2 linked regions of the Saccharomyces cerevisiae S288C genome follow. Changing the gene in region 2 together with the main gene of any one other region gives a genetic interaction. Each region holds a gene or a part of one and is shown on either strand. Other genes may lie near its edges.

Region 1 (3,990 bases), on a different chromosome or scaffold from region 2:
CAGTCGACTTTGAACCCATTTTCATAGGCCATTTAAAATACTTTGACGAAGATTTAAGATACGTTAATAGTACAAAGGAAGAAAATATCAAACTTATTGAGGAAGTAAACCTAAGTAAGAAGAATAACCCCGGCAGAAGCGGGATTGAACCAAAGAAAATGGTAAGAATAGATCCCAGAGAGCTATATATTGAAGATCTGAGATATTCCTTCAAACTGCTTGATGAGGTGAAAGAAAATTTAAGTGCCGGCACAGCATTTTACGAAAATTTAATTACTTCTACCAGCAATCTGTACAATGAGGTACAGGAATATGATACAGCAAGAAGAGCAGAAAAAGCTAGGCTTGATAAGAGTTTGACATTTGAAGACCAATGATACCTGTCCTCATTCATCTATAAAGTATATTTTGAGCTTGTCATCCTCCCTTTCCATTATCAAAACCCAGCTTCACTTATGTAGATATATACACTCAGGATAAACTCCTTTTTCCTAATATTTTCATTCCACAGTCTCCTTCTTGTTTATTTTCCATTTTTCAAAATCAGCTTGACGAGTGTTTCTTTTCAAGTTGGATTTATGTCTTCTGCTACCCAAATGAATTTTCCAATATTTTTCGCCAATAGCTACAACGTTCTTACCATCTGCGTTACGACAGACGTTGCAAGTATAATGTGTCCAATCGTCCAATTTCTTCATCGTAGTTTCGCCTTTAGACAACAGCTCCTCTAGGGCTTTAGGTGCCCTTTCTTGCTTGATGGGTCGATTGCTAATAAAGTCATTGGAAATAGCTATCGCTCTTTGAGATGCATTCGTGTCCCATTGAGAAAGGTCAGTGGCATCCAGTAAGTATATATCGCCTTTGATGTCAGGTATCAGCATTTTCTTGATCCATTTTACCTGCCTTTTTGCGTATTGACGTGTTCTCGTTTTCATTCTTTCTATACAATCCTCCAATTTTACTGTGTTGTCATCAGTTTTCCCGGTTAGCCACGGTAAGAATTCTTTGAAGCCAATAACTTGCCAAACACCATTCTCGCATTGCTCCGGCGTAAATTTATTTTGACTGTAATATTCATATAATTGCTTGATTTCTTGCAAGGCGCCTCTTTCTAGCATGTCGTCTACACGATCGTCAAGCCTTTGGAAAAGTGGCTCCGGCTTACTGTATAGCCATAAAAATAGGGTATCAAACTTCAAAGTTATTTTTTGTTCGTTAAATGTCTCGCTTGGTTTTTTGCCCGTCTTATAGTAGATTTCCAACATTCGTTGTACCCTCCTGTAGTCATTAGGATGGTATTTGGTAGCTATATCAGGATCACACTTCACAAGTGTGTTATAAATCACATCAGGGTCAGTCGATTCCAAAATATCGAGCTGCTTCCTTGTGAGCTTACGTTCGGATGATTTCGTATCGACCCGCTTATTGAAAAGAGTCTGCAAATAATAATGAGTACCCCCAACAACGATGGGTATCTTACCCCTCCGGTGAATATCTTCAATAGCGTTCATGCATTCAGTTTCAAAACGATGGGAATAGTATTCTTCTGACCAATCTACGTGATTCATTACATGGTGAGGAATGCCCTCTCTTTCTTGAAGCGGATGTTTATTTGTTATAATAGGAATATCTTTATATACCTGCATAGAATCCGAATTGATAACTTCGCCATTAAATTTTTGTGCCAATTGTATGGACAACTGAGACTTTCCTACTCCTGTTGTACCAGCAATCACTATAACTTTTTTAGACATATTTAAGCAACCTTTAAGCGGTCCCTTTAGCATGAAGATTTTTGGTTCTATTTACAAAAGATATGTACGTATAGTAGCTTATCTAATAAACTATACAGCCCTCACTGAGCTTTTCTTCTTTTTTGCCATTTTAGAATTTTTTTCTGTTTTAATTTTCTTTCCGATGAGCGAAAGATGAACGTGTGCTTTCGCCTGATTCAGTAATCAAGATCTTAGATCGACGTTGCCATCGAGGAGCAGCAACATAAGGAACTTTTACCTGATTTTAGCTTATACGAGCAAAATTCGCTCTTTATCTTTCGAAGGCATGACCACAATAGCGCAAGTAGATATGTAAATAAATCTTCCTAAACCGGTCTCGGAATGCAAAGAGCTTCGTATTTCAAAATTACCCGAATCCTATACATGTCAGGAATCAGGTTATACTCCCTAGCTCTTTTCCTGTTTGTCCATCTTTTTCCTATCATAGATGGTTATGGAGGCGGCTGTTTCTGTAAGAACTACGGAGTCGCGGCCCGGAATGGGAGAAATGCGAAGAAGCAGGCCGCAAGTGGAAGAAATTATTGGGGTAAAAGATCAACTAATGAACTCTGGATATAAAAAGTACAGTTAGCGTTTCTTCCCAACTTTCTTATGCTGCTATCAGCAAATGCATTTGCATAGGCTACAAGCCACAAGCCACAAGCCAATAAGGCATATGAATAATAAGAGAAAAAGTGCCTAATTGCTGTTTATATCAACCGTATGGCGTGCTTTAGCTGCAATAAACTTGTTTTCGCCGATTACCACTAATGGCCGACTTCCACGGATCCCAAAAATAGTGCCACGTCGGTACGGTCGGGCATAGTGGTTATTATTTCCGGGTTGTGACCCGCTTCGGATAATTGATCTATCCCCGAGGTAATAGGCCCGTGCGGTTCCGTCTTCATGAAGCTGCAGGGGCTCCGCTTAAAAGCCCCTGACGGCTCACCTTAAATCCGTGTTACGACACTATGCCAAATGAAGGAAACACTGAAATGATTGCATACCCGCACTCGTGCTTACATGCTAATTGTCCTTGTCAGAGCAAACGGTACCGGAGGCTTGAATGTGTTTATGTGTATATATATATTCGCCTGTATGGAAAGTTATAGGTTGTCAATTTGTTGTACCTGACACATCGATTTTCTAGTCATCACTTTCCTGAAAATTACAGAATAAAGATACCATCTTATACACACACATACACACACAAAGAAGCATAGACATCGTATACATATATTTTAAGTTTTACTAATGCCTTCTTCTTTGACAAAAACCGAATCTAACTCAGATCCTCGAACAAACATACAGCAGGTACCAAAAGCCTTGGACAAAAATGTAACTAATAGCGGCAACTTGGATTCGACTTCTTCTTCGACAGGGTCAATAACAGAGGACGAAAAAAGATCAGAACCGAATGCAGATTCCAATAACATGACAGGGGGCGAGCCAATTGACCCAAGAGATCTCGATTGGGACGGGCCCGATGACCCAGACAATCCGCATAATTGGTCCTCTTTGAAGAAATGGTATACTACTATGACTTCAGCTTTTCTTTGTTTGGTCGTCACAATGGGTAGTTCCCTATATGTTTCTTCCGTACCAGAATTGGTAGAAAGATATCACGTTAGTCAGACTTTGGCGCTTGCTGGTTTAACTTTCTATCTTCTGGGTTTATCGACTGTCATCGGCGCTCCATTAAGTGAAGTGTTTGGTCGTAAGCCTGTCTATTTATTTTCCCTACCTGTGTCAATGCTTTTCACCATGGGTGTTGGGTTATCCAATGGCCACATGAGAATAATTCTACCCCTAAGGTTTTTATCAGGTGTCTTTGCATCCCCCGCCTTATCCGTTGGATCAGGTACCATCCTGGATATCTTTGACGTGGACCAGGTCTCCGTCGCAATGACATACTTTGTTCTATCTCCATTCTTAGGGCCAGTTTTATCTCCTATTATGGCAGGATTTGCTACTGAAGCCAAAGGCTGGCGTTGGTCTGAATGGATCCAATTGATTGCGGGCGGTCTAATCTTGCCATTTATTGCGCTCATGCCAGAGACCCATAAAGGTATTATTTTAAGAAAGCGTGCCAAGAAGAGAAATATAGCCTTGAAGAAGTTCAGCAGGGAAGCTCAGAAAGAATTTTTAAAAACCACTGTCACTATTACAATCTTAAGGCCTTTAAAAATGCTTGTCGTTGAACCTATTGTATTTG
Region 2 (4,738 bases):
TTGGGGGCACCCGTTATAGATATCACATTTGGATTTGCAGTTGTGGACGACGCAGTTGCTGAACCCATTACACTCGGTGTGGGTACAGCCCCTGATGTATGATTTACAGAATTCGATTGCAACTGTTGTTGTATTATATTCTGCTGATGGTGAGGATGCTGAGATTGTCGTATTGTGGAGTTGGAATCCATGTTGCTCTGAAGATTGGCATGCATATTATTAATGGAGGTGTTATTAGTTGCATTGCTGCTATGAGCCTGCATAGTATTAGTCTTATGACCTGCATTTTTTGTATTAGCGGCCATGTTATTCTGCAGGTTATAGTTGGCAGAAGAGGTATTATTTGTCATACGAACTGATGAACTAGTGTTACCAGCAGAGTTCATCGGTATTTGTGACATATTGGTAGTGTTAGGAGACGTGGATATATGAGCTTCTTCGTAATGTCTCAGCAAATCATGCAAACCTGGTAAGGAAAGACCACAGCATGAATAATCTTTACAATATTGCTTTTCTAGATTTGGCAGATAAGCAGTGTAGGCTATCTGAGGAGAAATAGAATACCCTCTATGGTAAGGCGGATTACTAACAGAGGGTCTCTTAGTTGGTTGTTGAATCTGCAAAGTATTAGTGGCAGTAGTGGTTGCAGAAGCGGCAGCGGAGGCAGCACCGTTTGCTGATGCAGGTACAATACTATTTCTACGGCTAATAATTTCATCTCTTAACCAAGAACCAACACTAATGGATCCCCATGAAACACCACCCATCCCTTGAGAATGGGCTATTGATTCTCTCCGTAACTTGGCAATGTCCTGTGGAGTTAGTAGCGTTTGGTCCATTATATTTGGAGAGTACAAATGAACATTATTTGTATTATTCATGATATTTTTTTGGTGAATATTATTGACGCCGTTAAAATCTGTGTTTTTTCCATTAGAAGAATCCGAATTGTTATTTATCAAAATGGAAGGAGTATTCTGGTTCGAATCAATATCAATATTAAAGTTTGATGACGAATTTATAGATGCATGTGCCGATGTAGCCGTCGTAGTAGTACTAGTAGCCATATTGCTTGCCATAGTCATTGTTGTAAAATCCATACTCAGATAAGCTTTTCCTGTTTCGAAGAAAAATAAAAATACTGAATATGAATATGTCTTTTAATAACAATAAATTTGAAAACGCCTTACAAGTGAAATCTTGAGGTGATTAATAGTAGGTGAATCCAGAGAAAGTGTTTCGAGGATATAATATGGTATCAGAAAGCCAAAAGACGACCGGTATATTATAAACTTAGTATGAATGTATCGTGGCGCTTTTTTCTCCTAGCTTTATTCTTCTTGCTTTCTCGCTCTAAATATGATATTGCGATAAAAGGAAGTAGTTTAACTCACCGTAAAATCGATCAATATTAGAAAAACAGAAAACCACCAGAGAGAAGCACCGATATGTAATTGAAGTAGAAAAAAAATCTAGCTTTCCTTCTCTTTATAAGCGAACTTAATGATTAGATTGACTAGCGCTATCCTTCTTTGATTGTAATATTTGTCAAACCTTGTTAACGGAGCCACTAGAATGTACAAGACGTTATATAGGGATGACAGGTAGAAAAGAGATAGGGCCTGGGAGGTAAAATGCGTACGTTAGCCTAGAGAGCTTTAAATCGGTGACGATGCGAAAGCAAATGATAATGGCAATAGCGGTGGCAGGCGACAGTGGCAAGTGACAATGGCTGATAGTGACGTTATTTGATACAAAATCGCCTTTTAACGAATGCATCGCCCATTTGTTCCAAATTTCAATTGATTCGAAATTGCTCCTTATTATGTAACTGACAAAATCCTGTCCCCTTGCACGACGTAGGCGCGTTTTGTTTCTTTTTCCTACCGCAGACCACCTTGCGCACGGGAACGCCGCACTGTTTGGCACCCAGTCACCGCCCGTACCGTCGTTCCACAGAACATGCCGCAGAAACCTGTCGGGTAATAGTACACGGGATGAAGAGACTTAATGCCGACAAGCCGGGTAGGGGAATTGTAGCTCCGAAAAGCGACGGAAAGTTCAATATACAGAAAGCCCGTGCACCATTTTTGAAAAGTTTCATAAGATCTAGTTAAAGTTATGAAGAATTTAGTTCGAATGTGTAGTGATGAGATGAGCAGTAATGAAACATTAATGAACTCAGAATAGGAAAAAAAGGCAACTTCTAAACATTATTGATGGAGCAAAACGCTGAAAAACGCTCTATTGTTGGCGACGACAACTCAACCGTGAAGAGACAAGACACTTCCCCGTCCAAAGGTATTGCACATATCAAACCAGAATATATTGTACCATTGAAGCAGAATGAAAACCAGAAGGTCGCCATCTATGATGAAGAGATGTCTTCCGACAGAATGACAAACGAGTTTGCAGGTGGGACTAATAAGAAAAATAAGAACGGAAGAGGTAAGAAGCGTGGGCAAAACAAGAATAGAGATAACAGGCAGGTCAAGGAACAGAATGTCTTGTGCCCACGCTTGATCCATGGCGATATATCTAAATGCTCCTTTGGTGATAACTGTAGGTTTGTTCACGATATCAATCTGTACCTTTCAACAAAAAAGCCTGAAGTTGAAAGTAATATATTTCCTTCCTGTCCGGTCTTCAACTCGTTGGGATTTTGCCCCATGGGATTCAAATGCAGATTTTTATCGTCTCATCTGAATAAAGAAGATAATATCCTAATATCGAAGAAGGAGATTGATCCAGATGCGCAAACAATATGGTCCGTTAAAGGTGAGGTAAACCATATCTCACCGGAAAGAAAACTCGATCTTATAAAAAGAAGATTTCCTTTCACAAAAAGTAATGAAATATTGGAAATCATCGACTCTTTCCAACAAGAATGTAGAGATTCCATGAAGCCAGAAGAAGAAGTTGAGTCAACGCCACAGCTGAAGAAACAAGACCCAGATGTGGAACAACCAGTTGCCCCCCAAGTCGAACAGAGGAACAAAGAATTGTCAGAACATAGAATGAAACAGCGTGAAGTATACTTGAAGTACAAGGACACTCGTTATTTTGCTCAAGAAAAAAAGCCACTGGATTTGTACCACAAAAAAATCGTGTCGCCATTGACAACCGTAGGCAATTTACCATACCGTCGTCTAATGAGAAAGTTAGGTGCAGATGTGACATATTCGGAAATGGCCTTGGCAGTTCCCTTAATTCAAGGAACTAATTCTGAGTGGGCGTTACCTAAAGCTCACACATCAGAGTTCCCCGGGTTCGGGGTTCAAGTGGCCTGTTCTAAAGCCTGGCAGGCGGCAAAGGCTGCAGAAGCACTCGCAAACTCCGTCAGTGAAATAAGTGAAATCAACTTAAACTCTGGCTGCCCCATCGATTTGCTATACAGACAAGGTTCTGGTAGCGCCCTGCTGGATAACCCTGCAAGAATGATTCGTTGTTTAAACGCGATGAACTACGTATCGAAAGATATTCCTATCACGGTGAAGATCAGAACAGGTACAAAGGAAGGTCATCCTATCGCGGAAGGGTTAGTCAAAAGACTGGTTAACGAAACTGATGTGGCTGCGATTACCTTACACGGTAGGTCTAGGCAACAAAGGTACACTAAGTCTGCGGATTGGGACTACGTGAGTCAAGTGGCTGACACCTTGAGATCCGCCGAAGCGGATTTCATCGAAACCGAACAAGGCAAAGAAGGCAGGGATTCCAAGAACAGAATTCAATTTGTCGGAAATGGTGATGTCAACAATTTTGAAGACTGGTACCGCTATTTGAACGGAAATGAAAATATTGATAGTGTTATGGTTGCTCGAGGGGCCCTGATCAAACCATGGATTTTTGAAGAGGTTGAGTCGCAGCAGTATCTAGACAAGACAAGTACGGAAAGATTAGACATTTTAAGGGATTATGCGCAGTTCTCTATGGAACACTGGGGCACCGACGAATACGGCATTTCTCAATGTCGTAGATTCTTCTGCGAGTTCATGTCCTTTTTTCATAGGTATGTCCCCATGGGTATTTGTGAAAGATACCCTGTGAAGTTGAATGAGAGACCGCCAAACTGGTGTGGAAGAGACGAACTTGAAACTCTAATGGGTAGTACGGATGTTAATGATTGGATCAAGCTAAGTGATCTATTTTTCGGTAAAACCGACGAGAACTTTGTATTTGTCCCCAAACATAAGAGCAGCTCTTATGCAAACAGAGATTCCTAAATAGAAAATCAAGTGTACATGTATCATAAATCATATCTGATGGGTAAGCGCGGTTATTTTTCCTTTGCAAGACGAGAATTGGAATATGTACGGGTGTCAATTTCAAACGTGAGGTATGGGTTCCAAGAAAATCAAAATAAGCACAGCTGGGAAGGGTTAGGTAGGAGCGGAGAAAAGTGTATTGAGAAAATCTTAACGAGTTCGGACAGGTTATCATCGCAACACAAATGAACATAACTATCAACCTGATGCAACTGTACCTGAGTGGCTCAAATAGCAGGTAAATACAGGTGGATTTAGAAAACGCGCAGTGATTTGAATCTCGCAAGTCGCCTCTGAAAAAAGGCATTTCGCAAACTGGGGTGTCTGGAAAGTTCATTACATCCCGTTCACATAGCTCCTTCCTGGTACTTGAGTAAGTCTTTTAAAACAATTCAACATCTACTTTGTATCAGGCGCTTGGATTTACACTTTTGGCATATTTATTCCTACGCTGCAGTTGCTATTAGCCG

Evidence for each region.
Region 1: of DUS3 (region 2) and MOD5, changing one enhances a phenotype caused by changing the other (phenotypic enhancement), as found in Saccharomyces cerevisiae (one study listed by BioGRID).

The regions. Positions count from the first base shown.
Region 1 is NC_001147.6:835,471-839,460, reverse strand, and holds MOD5 (tRNA dimethylallyltransferase), read right to left. Parts: upstream 1,788-3,990; coding exon 501-1,787; downstream 1-500. Other genes in the region: RIM20 (Rim20p), read left to right, coding at 1-377; TPO4 (Tpo4p), read left to right, coding at 3,030-3,990. UniProt on the Saccharomyces cerevisiae protein: Catalyzes the transfer of a dimethylallyl group onto the adenine at position 37 in the anticodon loop on a specific subset of tRNAs both in the cytosol and the mitochondrion, leading to the formation of N6-(dimethylallyl)adenosine (i(6)A).
Region 2 is NC_001144.5:921,930-926,667, reverse strand, and holds DUS3 (tRNA dihydrouridine synthase DUS3), read left to right. Parts: upstream 1-2,219; coding exon 2,220-4,226; downstream 4,227-4,738. Other genes in the region: zinc-coordinating transcription factor SFP1, read right to left, coding at 1-1,100.